Linked DNA regions of Drosophila melanogaster. The protein of the gene in region 2 interacts with the protein of the main gene of each other region in a biochemical or structural test. Each region holds a gene or a part of one and is shown on either strand. Other genes may lie near its edges.

Region 1 (5,014 bases), on a different chromosome or scaffold from region 2:
AATTTGTCAATACTACCGAAGAAAAAGCAAAGATATTAAAAAAAGATCATAACAAGATATTCATATCAGCGAAATGCGAGCGGGACTTTAATAATTACTCATAAATTAAATGCGCTACTAATTTAAAATCTAATTTAAATTCAGCAACAGCATTATAACAACAATAAAAAGACGGCTCGTTGCTTCAATTGTGGATCGTCTGAACACATGAAGAAAGATTGCAATGCTGGAACGAAGTGCTTTAAGTGTGGTGCTGTGTGCATATATGTGCATATATCAACAAGTTGCCCGCAGTCAGTTGGTTGGAAATTGGTGCAATTGGTAAAGGATTATACTAAATGGTATTGAAGTTGCTTGCTGGGTTGACACGGGTGCTGATGTTACGGTTGTGATGTACTCGGTGTACATGAGGCAAAAAGATGTTGTGCTAAGTCCATGTCGTTCTTTGTTGCGTGGCCTGGGCAAGGCGGCCACGTTGCCTCTGGGAGTTTTCGCTGGAGATGTTCAAATAGACGATATGGAGACTGTTCAAAACTTCATCGTGGTGGCGGATGAAAAAATGGAAGGTGATGGAAGTGCATTGGATACGATTTTCTATCGAAGTTTCAATTTACACTGGATGTAAATGGGTTTACGTTTTGTGTCGTTATCAGCTTGGCCTGAGGTAGCTAACATTAACCAGATAAGTATTCACGATTATGTTTGCACTGAAAGTAATGTGAATGCTCCTCCCCAATTTGCACCTATGATACGGAAGCTGATAGACGAATATCATCCAACCTCCAATTGTGCCGGATGAGAAAATTAAGACGTTTCGTCATCAACCAAGTCGACATCCGCCAGTTAAAGCCAAAGCCGTTAAAAAACAAGTCGATGACTGGTTAAAAGAAGAAATCGATTGACCATCTACTTCAAGCTTCGCCAGTAGAACTGTCGTAGTGAAGAAAAAAGTACGGCACTTACAGAATCTGTATAGGACTATCGCCAATTAAACAGCATGGTTCTCAAGGATTGCTTCCCTGTGTCGATTTCCTGCAATTCTACTGCGGCATTTATAAGATTTATAAACCACATATTCCCGAGACATTCTACAACTCTATATGGATGATATTATAATATATGGACAGACGAATGACGAATGTATTAAGAAACTAAAGTTGGTGCTATTAGAATCAGCGAAGTTCGGCTTACGTATAAAGTGAAAGAAATGTCATTTCATACGCACGATATTGGAAGAACGACCTTACAATGACCTTAAACTGAAGGGAGGAGTTTTATTCATGTTTGTCAAAGGAAATGATTTGCTTATTGTACCTAAAATAATCGAACGTAAGATTATAAACGAAGCTCATGGATTCGGACATTATGCAAACCAGAACAAACCGTACATTCTATACAACAGCAGTTTTGGATTCCACACCTAGAGAGCAAGGTCGAAAAGCTTATAGACGCGTGTATTCCGTGTATTATTACGAACAAAAAGCTGGGCAAACAGGATGGACTTTTATGATGCATTGAGAAAGGTGACAAGCCGTTACACAATATAAGTACATCTTCGCACTTGTTGGTGGATTTTTGAAATTCGTGTGGATTTTTACTACAAAATGTCTTAACAACAACTGGAGTTGCCAGAGGAAATGGGCGGGTAGAGAGAATTAAATAGATCTATCTTATCGTTTTAAAAATACAACAACGATTGAAAACTCTCGAAATGGGATGTACTGGCGCCATCTATCGGAGGTAATAGGTACCCCGAGACGCATGCAAAGCGCCAGAGGGCGACACAGCTCCTCTGACGAGATGGCATCACTATTTTTATTGGGAGTATTGGTATCTCGGGTGTAAAAATTAAATTGATGCCTAATTTTTGAAAATATGTCACACAAATAATAAGTATCTTTTAAGTGGATAGATCCATTGATGTCGCTGGAATTAAAAATACAAATACCAATGTTATCGTTATCGGCGAGTCCACACTGTGCTAGGCAAAAATATCGACGTACCTTGCGCCCGATATCTGGCACTAATGTATCGATGACGGTCTTGTTAAATTATTAAAAAAAAAACAAGTTTGTACTTGAAAAGTACGGCGTATATCTACAGCGAAGAACGCAAGAACCCGCCAAGGCAGCGTCCGATGCAGACGCCATCTGTTCAAGCATTGAGCCCGGAATCCGGAGGAATCCCGGCCAGGATGTGATGTGCGCACTGGGCCCTCTCCGCTGGTCGATATAAACTCGTGCCCCCCTCTTCTAGCCACCTTCTTGCTGTCAACCGCCTGCTCATTCTACCCCACAGTTCCAGTCCCAGTCCTGCACAGCAATCATCTTCGCCTGGAGAAGTCTACCGGTAGCACGAGTGGTGGAACCAGGCAGACTACAAAGGACACGGAGACCGCGGTGTCTGGGAAATCGGCTGAGCACGGAAACCGATCCACTAGGGTTGGCATCACGCACCACTTTGTCCAGGAACCTGCAGCTGAGGAATCTAGATAACATCTGAAGTCTCCTGGGAACTGCGAAACACACCATATCTTAGCAAAATGACGTGGTAAAAGTTGTCAGTCGCAATCTATACAAAGGCAAGAAACTTTATGATGAATCCAGGTCTAGATCTTGCAAAGATTCCGAAAACTCTGTCCCCAAGAGGGAACCAAAGGCACAGTTAGCCAGCAATGAAATCGGGAACCCACGGAATCGTAGCCACTAAAAAGGCGAAATCCCGGTAATTCTACCAAAATAGCGCACCACCTGGACACCATAGAAGAGAGCCTTAAGGCAAGGAATCGGTGGCATACTTGGACAGTTGAAGAGAACTTTAAATCTGGTAATCAGCGGCGCCAAATGCAACTGCAACTGGTAAACTAGTACTCATTTGTAAGCCAAAACACTGACAAACAAAAGCTGCATCTGAAAAGCAAGTAGAGAACACCAGGATACTTAGCGTTCCACGGAGATGGCCACAGCATCGCTGGACGCACTGCAGGCAGCCTATGTGGACTTCAGTGAGATAACACTAAGAGAGGTGTGCATACCAAACGGAATATACCCAAAGTCTAGAGCTCCTATTGGTGTATACGTATACGCAATCTTGAAACGATAAACAACCAGTAATCATATACCATTTAGGGCAGAGCAAGTACTCATTCTTAGTTAGTCAGACGATTATCGCACTTTCAAAAAGCATGTTTTAATCTATAAACGGTTATTTTTTCGTTTTAAAAGTGTATGCTTTGTAACAGCTCTGTTAAAAAACCCAAGAAAGGTTTTATATTTTAAACTTACGCATTCCTAAATGCTTACATTCGTTTTAGGATTTCGTTTCAAACTTATTAAAACAAACTACAGACTGTATACAAATATCAGCATATTTATTAACGATACGATCTTATCAGTTTGATAAGAAACGAATTTCAAATTTACCCATCACAATGCGTTCGTGTGTTCTACTTGAAGTCAATTCAAACTGTGTTAGACCAAGGTGTATAACGTAATTAGTATTGAGGAGTTTTGCACAAGGAGGGTACAACTGTTGAATCAGATCTAATAATCTTTTTCCCCGCAGAAAGTCGGCCATGGGTCCTACGGAGTGGTCTGCAAGGCCGTTTGGCGCGACAAGCTGGTTGCCGTCAAGGAGTTCTTCGCCAGCGCCGAGCAGAAGGACATCGAGAAGGAGGTGAAGCAGTTGTCGCGCGTGAAGCACCCGAACATCATCGCTCTGCACGGGATATCCTCGTACCAGCAGGCCACCTACCTGATAATGGAGTTCGCCGAAGGTGGATCGCTGCACAACTTCCTTCACGGCAAGGTGAAGCCGGCATATTCTCTGGCCCACGCCATGAGCTGGGCGCGCCAATGTGCAGAGGTAGGTCGTCGTCGAGGGGCGGGGCGGTTATAACGTAGGGCTCAACCCCGTAGCGCTTTCCATCCAATTCGTTGAAATTATCTGGTGAAATAATGACTCAAATGGATTGTGGTAATTCACATTGCTTGCATGATTACTTAAACAATTTCAATAGCTATTCCGCATAACCAGAATTAAAATAATAGTAATTTGTTTAAAGTTTAGCCCTAATTACATTTCCATTTGTTTTCCTCTCTAGGGTCTGGCATATTTGCATGCCATGACGCCAAAACCACTAATACATCGCGACGTGAAGCCGCTGAACCTGCTCTTGACCAACAAGGGACGCAATCTGAAGATATGCGACTTCGGCACGGTGGCGGACAAGTCGACCATGATGACCAACAATCGCGGCAGTGCCGCTTGGATGGCGCCCGAGGTCTTCGAAGGCTCCAAGTATACGGAGAAGTGTGACATTTTTAGCTGGGCCATTGTTCTATGGGAGGTTCTGTCCAGGAAGCAGCCCTTTAAAGGCATCGACAATGCCTACACCATCCAGTGGAAGATCTACAAGGGTGCGTCCTCCAATTCACTCTTTTTCCATCGAGCTTATCGAGATCTGTGCTCCTCGCAGGTGAACGCCCGCCGCTGCTGACCACTTGCCCCAAGCGCATCGAGGACCTGATGACCGCCTGCTGGAAAACGGTGCCCGAGGATCGCCCGTCGATGCAGTACATAGTGGGCGTTATGCACGAGATCGTCAAGGACTATACGGGGGCGGACAAGGCCCTGGAATACACGTTTGTTAATCAACAGGTGAGACAGCTTTATTGGGTCAATACACAATTGTAAAAGAGTCAATTGGTGTTTTTATCTATTGAGGAAAGCGTTCTTTTACTCTGCCCGTCTTTAAAACCTAATTTAAATTCGATATTGTTTGGCACTAAATGCAATCATTACCCTATACGGATAACATCACTTTTGCGTTATTTTCCTTTGCCACACATTGCTAACTCTTGATCCTTGAACTGCTCGCAGATTGTCACCAAAGAGAGCGACGGCACGGTGGCCGCTCAACCGGATAGCCTCAGTTCGCAGGAGGGGGAACTGAGCCCCTCGTCCACACAGTTAACACCGACAACGGCGGCCAACGCCAATGTGAACGCGATAG
Region 2 (5,987 bases):
TTCCTCCATCACTGCTGCTGCTTGCATTACTTAAAAAAAGAGAAAAGTCCTTTTTCGTTCCAAGTCGTTTACAGTACACTGAAATTGAAAAGTAGAAGATATCTTATCAAGTGCATTAAAACGTTTACATCATACTGGACCCTATAAATGAACCTTGTTTATCAGCCAGCGATAAAGCAAACAACCAGGAAGGAAAAATTTCTAGGGGATTATCGAAGTGCTGGTCGATCAATCAAAGAACAAATAGTTAAATGGCATTCTTATTTTGGCAAACATGGATTAAAATAGGCCCGTTTAGCTACAGTTTTCATCTGTTTCTGTTGTCAGTCGCCCGCAGACTTACCAAAATCGCAGATAGTTGATAAGTGCGACCTCCGAGGACCCGCATTTGGCTGCGACCAACTGATAAGGAACTACATAAGTACATACACACTTTAGGACCGCTTGGCTACAGTAAACAAATTAGTACAAAGATAATTCATTGGATATGCGGCGTGACTTATGTACAGGAAATCTAACAAGTTGCGTTACTATTGCTTTCTTATAAAAACGTCAAAAGTTTGCAATTTTTTGTTTGCTGTTTTCCATTTCTTCTTAATTTGTGAATGGAAGAAATTTCCAATAACATCCAATACTACATTTAATAAAATATCTATTAAATTAGATCATAAATTATTCATTGAATTCACCTCTGTAGCTTATATTCGTAAAGTTTCCTTCGACTGAATGCAGAATCATTCCGGGAAACCATGTTGCATGCCCCACTGTAAACAGTGCGTGTCCAAAGGGGGTGCATGAAATGGATTTTCTGGCGTTGATAAACCGAAATAGTCTCTTTTCAAACGAGCTTTCTGCACCACAGCCTGAAACTAAGGCCACGTAGTGCTTGGATCTGCGAGATGAGTGCTCGACACAACTCTCCGCTTTTCGGTGGTGATAAGTGGACGCGGCCGATGGGCCACGCAGGCAGATTCCGGGGCTGAGTGATAACTATCGGCCGTTCTGGCTGATAAGCTCAGTCGTCCGATTGCCACCAAGATATTGTGGTACGTACACACACAAACACACAATGCTACAAGTGCGCTTTCCGAAATTTAGGCTGCTATCAGTCGGATTTCGATTGGGTGAAAGGTTGGGGCCTCGCGAATGAGAAAGAGAGATCTCAGCCGAGGAGCAGCAGAGACCATGCACTTGTTCGACCAAAGCTGTTTTCTAAATCCATGCCCAACGAGTTTTCGTAGCCTACATTTTCCTCTCTACCGAAAGAACAACAAAGATATGTCTGTCTCCTCTCTGTTAGTTGTGTCTTTGTATGTGCGGACAGCGGCGGTGGCAGGGTATGTGTAAAGGGGGCCTCTTACTTTTAAATCATACGGTTTTGTAAATTTCAATGAAAGCTTAATACATTTATATATTACAGATAACAATGACAACTGCAAGTGACACCAGATCATTATCCCTAACATTTAATAATAGTTTTTCATTTCAGAATTAATTTCCCAAAAAAATAATCACCTAACGACGAATCTGTTTGTGCTCATGAAAAATGTGTCAAATACAGAGACAAGAGCACGAGAGCGACAGGAACAGGGAGAGGAGAGAGCGAGAGCTTGACGAAGTAACTTAACGGAGCAGGGGAGCAGCTCCATATAAAACCGGATGATAGCCGGCAACTACAACAAAACGATCGAGCAGTGCCAGTGGTGTATTGTATGCATGTGAGTGTGCTGTGCCTGTGTGCCTGCACATTTCTGTGTCGCTCTTTTTCTTCTTCGGGAATACGGTTGTGTGTGTGTGTTGCCACCTTTCGAGAAGGCACAGGTAAAAAACGAAAACAAGCAACATACCTACATAGCAAATACCATCGTTCATACGTTCGTATGTGACGCCTGCAGCGACGCTGACGTCGACAAATGAAGACAAAGCACAATAACAATGCGCTAAAGTTCAGCTTTAAACAAAAAACCAAAAAAAAAAAAAACATATATACAAAATTGGTATGCACATATCGGATGGATTCTTGTTTCTGTAATTTCGATACAAAGATCCCAAAGACCAAAAAAAGAAAAGCTTGACGTAGTCAGTTTTAGGCATGAAACCGTTAACTTGGACGACATTTGTTGTCTTTTTTTTGGCAAAACACTTGTGTAAAATGTTAAACTATGCAAATTAACTCTAGGCAAAGGTTGTTCAACTTACGGTACTGTAAAATCCAAAAAATCCGGCCGAGTTTACTCTCCTTTGACCAAATCCAGTTTGATAACTTGGGTGTCTGCTGGAAAAGCCGAAAAACAATTGCTTAAAATTAATGCAATTAGCGGATGCAGAAGATCGGATCGTGGCATCACCAGGATGAATGCCCTACAAATCATTTAGTCAGTCATTCTGCGTTATGCACATCCCCAATAGAAAGTCTAATGTTATTTGTCGCAGAGAGCGCGTTGTTGCAGAGAGCACGGTGAAGGAAGGGGAGGGGGGCAGCATATGCGGGCCACTTATTGGACAATTGTTTTTGTGGCAGCAGCGGAGGCAAAATTGGAGCAGCGCGTGGGCGTGTTTGTGTGCGTCTGTGTGTGTGTGTGAGAGTATGGAAATGCGGAAATCAGTGCCGTATGCTTTCCAGGTGAAAGGTTGTGTGGATCCTCTTTTCCGGCACGGGGCGGGGCCTTAACTCTGCCTCCCCCTCTCGAAAAATAGGAAAATTAAAGTAAAAAAAAATAAAAGGCAGCACGCGCGCCTTCCAATCGGACAAATATGCTTATATATGCACGCTCACACGTATGCACGGGATTTTACGTCCCTATGTGAGCGTGTGGGTCGTCGACGTCGCCGACTTTTGTGACTGTGTGGGTGAGCGCGAGTGCGCCGTCCGTGTGTATTATCAACCATTGAAAAACACGTTGTTTTTCGCCGACCGCACACAAATTTGAAGAAAAATTAGCGGCCCGAATTTTCTTTCATCGTTTTTTTTAATTCGCCACTGCCGTCTCTTCTTCTTCTGCTTGCTCTGCCGTCGCCGCCCCACCGCTGCCGGCCCTTTATAACTGTAAATCCGTGCACTCTCTTTCGCTCGCCGCAACTTATGCAATTCCGGCTGCAATTATACCGCCGCACGGATCACCGAGCAATGTGAGTTGATTTTCGCACTGGAATCTTGGTAAATTCACACCCAGACTTTCTATTGGAAGGCAGAACGCACGGACGCGGAACTCAACGTTACCGACTCCAAGTAAAATGTGAATGAACATGAGCGAACGTGGCAAATAGAGATGGGCGATACGCCGCAGCGGGTGCAGGGTTGTCGCTCTTACCAATCGCAAGCGCGAACTGTCAAATCGAACTATCGACTATTGGGTCTATTACCATGGCCTTCTTTTGGGGATTTTCAAAAATTAATTAAAGAATTATTCAATAGTAACAATAAAAAAAATATATTAAAAAAAAACTTAGACAACAAACACCAGTTTTTAAAGATGATAATCGTTATTATGGGGGTTTCCTTATATGCAAATTAATAAAGATTAGATATAAATGCTTAAATTTTTTCCTTATATGCACATAATGATTAAGAATTAAAATTCAAATGTTAAGTTTTGTATGTTAGTCAAATATAATTGATTTTTTCAATCAGACGGAAAAGACAAGAAATGCTATTTAGTTGAATTTCTTAATAAAACTAAAAATTTTTAGTTGTAAGTGAAATATCGGTTGATAATCGGCTCGGAATATCGATAGTCAGGTCCATCCTTGGCCTACCACCACCAAATTGAAAAAGAGCAAAGAAACACAAAGGCAAAAAACTCCCCAATCTGTGGAATTTCCGGAAGCGAGAGCACATTCAAAGCTACCAGTTATCAGCGAGCAGCATGTCAAAGCTCAGGAACCTGTTGCCCACAATCTTTGGCGGGAAGGAGGCACAGAATCCGACACCCGTCGAGGGACGCCTGGAAAAGGACGCAGCTCCCGTGGACGACAACGAACCAGATAACAACAACAGCGGAGCCCTGGCGCTGCCCTCCACCGCTGGCACGCCCACAGCCTCCTCGGATCTGACCGAATCCGTGCTGCGCGAGCTCAGCGACCCAAACTACAATTCAATGGATGTGGTGCATTCCGCCAATATTCCGGGCACTCTCAGTAACGTCCAGACAAACAACACCATGAACGTACACAGCGCCCAGCAACAGGTGGTCATGAACTTCTCGAATGCCAATAATCTGCACTTCGGCTCCGTCTACAACTTCAACCAAAACTTGAGCGCCTGCAGCTCGCGAAAGGGTAGCACCAGTACCGCAGAGGAGTCGGTCGCCTCTCCAGACGGTAAGCCGCGGGCAAGTGCGACGCGCAAAACGGTCAGCATTGTGGCCATGATGCAGTCACAAGAGGAACCGGATGTGCGCCTGCTCGATGTGGTTTCCACGCACTTGGGCGAGGGCTGGAAGCAGGTGATGCGGGATCTTGGCATGTCGGAAGGACAGATCGACCAGGCCATAATCGATCACCAAATGCATGGCAATATTAGAGAGGTAAGGCCCCTGAAGTTTAAACTTCTCTTATTTGTTGTTGAATGTTGATTCAAGAACAGAACATACAAACTCAAATTAGTATGTAAAACAACAGACTATGCTAAGATGATTGTGACGCATCAGACTAATTTAATGACTCAAATACCACTATTTCTGTTAGATTTCATTGCTTGACACGAATGGATTGTTCAACTTAAAAAAAAAAATAATATAAATTAGCTTACATTATTGTGAGCTATTTATTTTATATAATACTGATAGTGATTCCACTTGTTTGTCTGATTAGATTGCAAGTTATGGTGTATAAATGTCACAACTCTGTTGTTAGAGTACCAGAAGATTTTAATGATTTTTAAGAGTTAGAAAATCAATCATAAAATCAGAAAATAACACTTTGCTTTGTGTCTACGTCTATAGGTGATATACCAGCTGTTGCTCCAGTGGATTCGAAGCTCGGCGGACGGTGTGGCCACCGTTGGACGACTTACTACACTGCTGTGGGAGTCCCAGCATCGCGACTGCGTGCAGCGCATGAAACTGGTTTGGAAGGCACTGGAGAAGCGCAAGACAAACAGCTAGTCAGTGAGTGAAACTTGCTAGCAAAGATTCCAGAACGAAAACGATGCATTCAAAGTGGCCCCTTGATGTCCAAGCCAGCCGGATGGTGAAAACTGGAAATGTTTAACCCACCAACTTTTGCTAAATTCAGAGCGGCCTTTGACAGAAGACATCGAGTGGTAGAGAGAAGAGACGAACACGGGATATATGTGCAATATTTGATTTATAAATCCAACCTATCGAATAAGTGCGTAGAATTGCATTAACTGTTATTACTGCAGTTTAATCTTTAAGTTGTGATACTTGTGTCGAAAAAAAAAACCAGCTAATTGAGCTGGTATTTAAAAGCATTTTTGTAAAGTTTATACAAATAGAAGCTTTATTGTTACGTAATCAGAACACGTTGCGTTTGTAACCTTTAAGCTAGTGCAAACAATTACACAATCTTTGTGATCTTCGAACTGAACATGTCGATCAACATCTGTGCCCCATTGCCATTGAGCGACTGGTAATTGGGCTGTGCGGCCATTCTGTCTAGCCAGCCGTTTAACTTGGGATAGCGCTTGGCATCGATAGCGGCCAATCCCACTAGGCTGGAGACCGAGGAAACTACACTGTAGTCGGCGATGGTTATGACCGGTCCGCAGAGGTAAGCCTGATTACCGATGAACGCTTCCAGAAAGTCATAGGCCTCGTAGATGGCATCAATCTGGGAACGCGGCACCTCAGTTATGTTCTTGTAGAACAACGGAATGGCTATGTTCCGGATGCAGCCCTGGAATAACACACCCGACTCAAAGTGCAGGCGCTGATCAACGAGTGCGCGTTTGAAGTAATCCTTGGGATACAGGTCATCACTCTTGGCATAGCGTCTAACCAGATAAGCGCAAATGGCGTGACTCT
Region 3 (4,401 bases), on a different chromosome or scaffold from region 2:
GGCCGTTGTCCTGGCCTCTCACTTGGACGTACAGAAAACACGCAGTTTTCGGCGGGCACAGATACTGAAGCTGCTCAGCGAGCAAGGTCGCCGGCTCGAAGTCGCTTTCAAGGACAACAACTCGTCTTCCAAGAAATTTGAGAAGCAGATAGCCAGATATGTAAATCAGCTAGAAACGAAGGCTAGCAGTTCCAAGGAACTCAATCTGCTGCTTAAGATCCTCGCCCAAGGAGGCGAGAAGTGGCAGAAACTGCGTGAACAAATTCAGCTCGTCGCCAAGGATCTTCAACCCAACAAGAAGGTGGCGAAGCAGAAGAAGCAGGCAGCCGCCAAACCTATGGTCGTGGAAGATGAAGAGTCCACATAACGTAAAAGAAGGAAACACCCCAATAAGAAACCTTACAATTAGATGTATAAATATCTTGCATAATATAGGATACTATTAATTTTTTTGTTCTTTAAAAAATTCTGACGAAAAGTACTAAATTAGTATTGAAGTCATTGAAAAAATAGCAAAAGTACACTAAACTTTATAAAAATGTATTTTTACCTTTATAGAGCAATTTGAGTGGACGTACAACTGCGCTAACGTTAAAAACCAAAATCACAGACGAGGTGGAAAGTACACGTGCTGGCGAAATGTGCTTTTAACATTCGGCACCATGGACTCGTCATTACTGCCTCGCTTTTTAGACACTTCGTTGGTGACAATCGTCAGGATATCGGCGATGTGTTCACTAAAGTAACAAAGAACAACTTATGCATTAATTCGGGGCTAGCTTGCTTTGGCAGCTTTTTACCTGGCGGAACGGCGATCGATGGCATCGCACAGGCTCCCGATAAACCAGCTACCTGTTTGGGTGTGGCGCAGAGCAGCATATCCATTTACCGTGGACATGGCCCGCAGCATGTCGATGTGCTGGTCCGGCGACACGGTGGTCACGTCTATCCTAAACTGAAAGAGGAATACGAAAATGTATAGGCTTTCCCATTCGACGACTTCATGCTTATAAATCTCCTTACGAGCTCATTTGGCTTCTTTTTATGGACAAGCTTCTCCTGGCAGGCTTGTATGATTAGCAACTTCGGTTTGTAGTACAGGGTGTCGTAGCTGCAGAGCAAGTCCTCGATATCCGTGATCTTCATGGCGATGCTGTTGGATGCGTAGACGGCCTCCTCGAAGCCGTGGCTCAGGATGAAGACCACTAGGGAATCGCGCACGAGCGATCTATCGCACGCACTGCGAATGCGCTCTATGATGCCCATGTGATCCACGTTGTCGTACGCCTCCACATTGTATCCCATCGAGGAAAACACCTCGATTAGTCGTTCTTTATCCACATCCGTGCCATCCCGTCTACGCAGTGGGTCGGGCGACAGAAATTTCTGTGGAGAAGGGCAATGTTGTACTTCTTTTTGTTACTCAATATTGCAGAGATGAAACCATATTATCCCTGCTAACATTCCGGTGAAACTTCTGCTGGTTGATAATCAAGGCGATTCCTGCGTTCTCCCGGGTCAACTTAAGAGCATCTATTTGTGTGGAACAGTACGACTGCTGGTTATCCGATTCAATCTCTTGCTTGACTGCCATCGCAGCAGTGCCAGCCGCATCTGGCTCCGGAGCGTTACTAATGATGGTGTCTTTGAGCAAATTTGCTTGCGCCTGCAGACCGTTGGACTTCAAATGGCCGACCAGCAGCTGAACATCGCTGCCTGCGGCATTTATGTCCCCTAACTTTATGCTCCTTCTGGTCAGCCAGTCCAGCAAAAAGATCTCCAGGTACGCGGGATCGTAGAAGCGAAGTGGATCTCCTGCCTGCTGGCTCTCCACCTTTTCGCGAACATCTAGGAGCAAGCGGCCACTCTGCACCAACGACAACTCCTCACACATCCTGTAGAGGCTCTTCAACAGAGGATGGACATGCAGCGTGATCCCAGCGATATGCGGCAAGTAGTGCATTCGCAGCTCCTGCCAGCAGAAACCCAGTCTCCGGAGCACCTTGCGGGCCCCAATAATGCACAGGGCCTCCACGAGATGTCTTCTCCAGGTTTCTGGCCGGGACTTGGCGAACTTTATGAGTAGATCACTTTGCGGGAAGTCTGATCGTGTCATGGCCAAAAGTTTCTGCAGAATGTAGGTGGCATCCGAGTGGTCGTCGCCATAAAGCAGAAAGCAGAGGCCCACCTAGAAGAAAACGAAGGTTCTACTGTTTAATTAACACTTTGGTCTAGCGGATGTGTAAAACATTTGAGTCATATTCGAAAAGTCCTCCCAGGGAGGTGCCATACCTTTTGGGCAAAGTTCATGTCACGTTCCACGTAGATCAGATCGTTCTGATCGATGGTGTCTAGATGAATCAACAGGTTTGATCCGGCCATGGCGATCGGGAATATACAAAAATGTTTCACTTTAGGAAATGGCCGATAAATTGCACTCGCTGACATCCGATAGCCGTGGCCTGAAGAGCTTCCACCGATCGATATCGATAAATGGATATGTTTTCTGCAATAGCGAAAGATCGGGGTGCTACCTATTAATTATACTTAAGAAACAGATGATGTAGTTTTTTGATATAGAAGTTTAACAACCGGTTCAACAATCGGTTAATATTTAAAAATGTCGCAGCCAGCGAGCCTTTAGCTTTAAAAGTAAGCTTGCGTTCACGGTTTTTGGGGAAATACCAAATATACTAGGTAAAAACATCGATTAACTAATATCATCCAACACGACGATATGTTCTTTGCGAAAAATATCGATGTACTGGTATTTTTATGTTTCCACACCTCTAGTTCGTTTAAGTCGATCTGTTGAACTGTTAACAACACAACTCCTGAATATTATGTTTTGGACGAAAAGTTTTATTAATTTAATGTTTTTGTATATTGTATTCTGTCCATGAGCGTAACAGAGACAGACAGAGAGAAAGGGACAGATACTGAGATACGGGGCCCTCAGGCAGAGAAAGAGGGCGAAAGCAAGCTACAAGCGGGTGCGAGCGAGAGCGCGCGCTTGCCTCACGCACATATATATAAATCTGTACATACATATAGTATCAGAAGAAAAAACTAAAGCCGCTATTCGATTTACGAAAACTGGCGAAAAATTCGACGATTTGTCTCGTACCTATCTATGTACCTCACAACCACTTCGTCATCAAATACGTATAAGTCAGATGTATGTCAAACATATATATACATATGCATGTATATACACATCTATGTGAGGCCACTGCTATATCCCATACATGTATGCCTCTATATATATGTATATATTTATCCACCTACTGTACCACTTCCACATTATGTAAGCAGCGACGCAAACAAAACACTAAAGCAGAAAATCCGAAAAGCAAAATGCGAAATGCAAAACAACGAACCAACAAAATCCCATCTATAAACCGAAAACCGAACAGCAATGTTATAACAAATACCGAAAAGTTGTTAATGTTCCACAAAAAAGCATAAAGCAGTCACGCTAAGAGAGTAAGATCGAACAAATGAAATGTTTGTATGGCATAAGTAGTTCCCAGATTTTTGTATGTACTTCAATGCATATGCATGTGTGCGTATGCATGTATGTATGTATGTTTCTCGGGGCCATGTCTCCCCACGCCCACGTACGTGGGTGCTAGAAAGGGACAGATGGTGCAAATTTTTTAAATTGCATACACTTGATTTTGGAACGCCAGCCAAACAAAAAGATAAATTGCGTGCTTTTCTTTTGCTGTTCGTATGTACGTACATATGCAAGTGGAAACTGCGCAGCAGGGAAGCCACACGCATGAACGCCTTCCATTTACAGAGCATTCAAACAAATCGTACCGAAAACCAAACAAAAACTTTCACCTCAAGTGTAACAATTATATTCAAATTCGCTTTGAAGTCGCTGTAAAATATATGTATGTATGTATAAACAAAGACAAAAACATTTTGCCTCGCAGTCGACACACACACGCGCACTCGCACTGCACGCCTCGGCTGTGTGTGTGTATGCCCTGCTTAGATCATGAGTGTGCGAGCGAGTCGACATGCTTGGCAATCGCGAGTCAGAACTAAACACGCGCTCTATATGCACGTGTGTGAGACGCATTGGATTTTGTTATTTTCATCAATCGCAATGATTCCGTCCATCAGCTACATCCAAATATATACACGCATCCGCGCCATATGTACAATGCTACGAGCATTTACATACACATGTACATATGCGCGTGTGGCTCATAACGGTTCACTCCGCTTACGCACAATAATAAAGGCAAACGCCTACGACTTCCCCATTGTTCCTAGGCTCAATGGAAAGCCACTCCGTTGCTTTCGACTTTCGCTTTTCGGATTCTGGAATTTGTTTCGCTGTCCAAAACTACGTATAACTGAATCTTTATGTTAAGCCAATTGTAA

What was found. The genes of interacting proteins can lie anywhere in the genome.
Region 1: of the proteins of imd (region 2) and Tak1, one has a biochemical effect on the other in vitro, tested with the Drosophila melanogaster proteins (one study listed by BioGRID).
Region 3: of the proteins of imd (region 2) and Dredd, one has a biochemical effect on the other in vitro, tested with the Drosophila melanogaster proteins (one study listed by BioGRID).

The regions. Positions count from the first base shown.
Region 1 is NC_004354.4:20,521,909-20,526,922, reverse strand, and holds the start of Tak1 (TGF-beta activated kinase 1), read left to right. Parts: upstream 1-1,994; 5' UTR 1,995-2,955; coding exon 2,956-3,024; intron 3,025-3,564; coding exon 3,565-3,864; intron 3,865-4,102; coding exon 4,103-4,418; intron 4,419-4,477; coding exon 4,478-4,659; intron 4,660-4,881; coding exon 4,882-5,014. UniProt on the Drosophila melanogaster protein: Component of a protein kinase signal transduction cascade. Mediator of TGF-beta signal transduction. Responsible for activation of the JNK MAPK pathway (basket, bsk and hemipterous, hep) in response to LPS.
Region 2 is NT_033778.4:18,409,290-18,415,276, reverse strand, and holds imd (immune deficiency), read left to right. Parts: upstream 1-1,677; 5' UTR 1,678-1,821; intron 1,822-1,847; exon of another isoform or gene 1,848-1,951; intron 1,952-2,199; exon of another isoform or gene 2,200-2,429; intron 2,430-2,920; exon of another isoform or gene 2,921-3,250; intron 3,251-3,690; 5' UTR 3,691-3,866; coding exon 3,867-4,526; intron 4,527-4,943; coding exon 4,944-5,105; 3' UTR 5,106-5,481; downstream 5,482-5,987. Other genes in the region: Dp1 (Dodeca-satellite-binding protein 1), read right to left, coding at 1-27; GstE9 (glutathione S transferase E9), read right to left, coding at 5,521-5,987.
Region 3 is NC_004354.4:633,102-637,502, forward strand, and holds Dredd (death related ced-3/Nedd2-like caspase), read right to left. Parts: upstream 2,445-4,401; 5' UTR 2,383-2,444; coding exon 2,293-2,382; intron 2,208-2,292; exon of another isoform or gene 2,189-2,207; coding exon 1,445-2,188; coding exon of another isoform or gene 1,424-1,444; exon of another isoform or gene 1,387-1,423; coding exon 1,024-1,386; intron 956-1,023; coding exon 801-955; intron 738-800; coding exon 605-737; 3' UTR 521-604; downstream 1-520. Other genes in the region: Mybbp1A (MYB binding protein 1a), read left to right, coding at 1-367. UniProt on the Drosophila melanogaster protein: Effector of the programmed cell death (PCD) activators rpr, grim and hid. May play an apoptotic role in the germline as well as soma. Fadd interacts with Dredd to promote cleavage of Dredd and is necessary and sufficient for enhancing Dredd-induced apoptosis.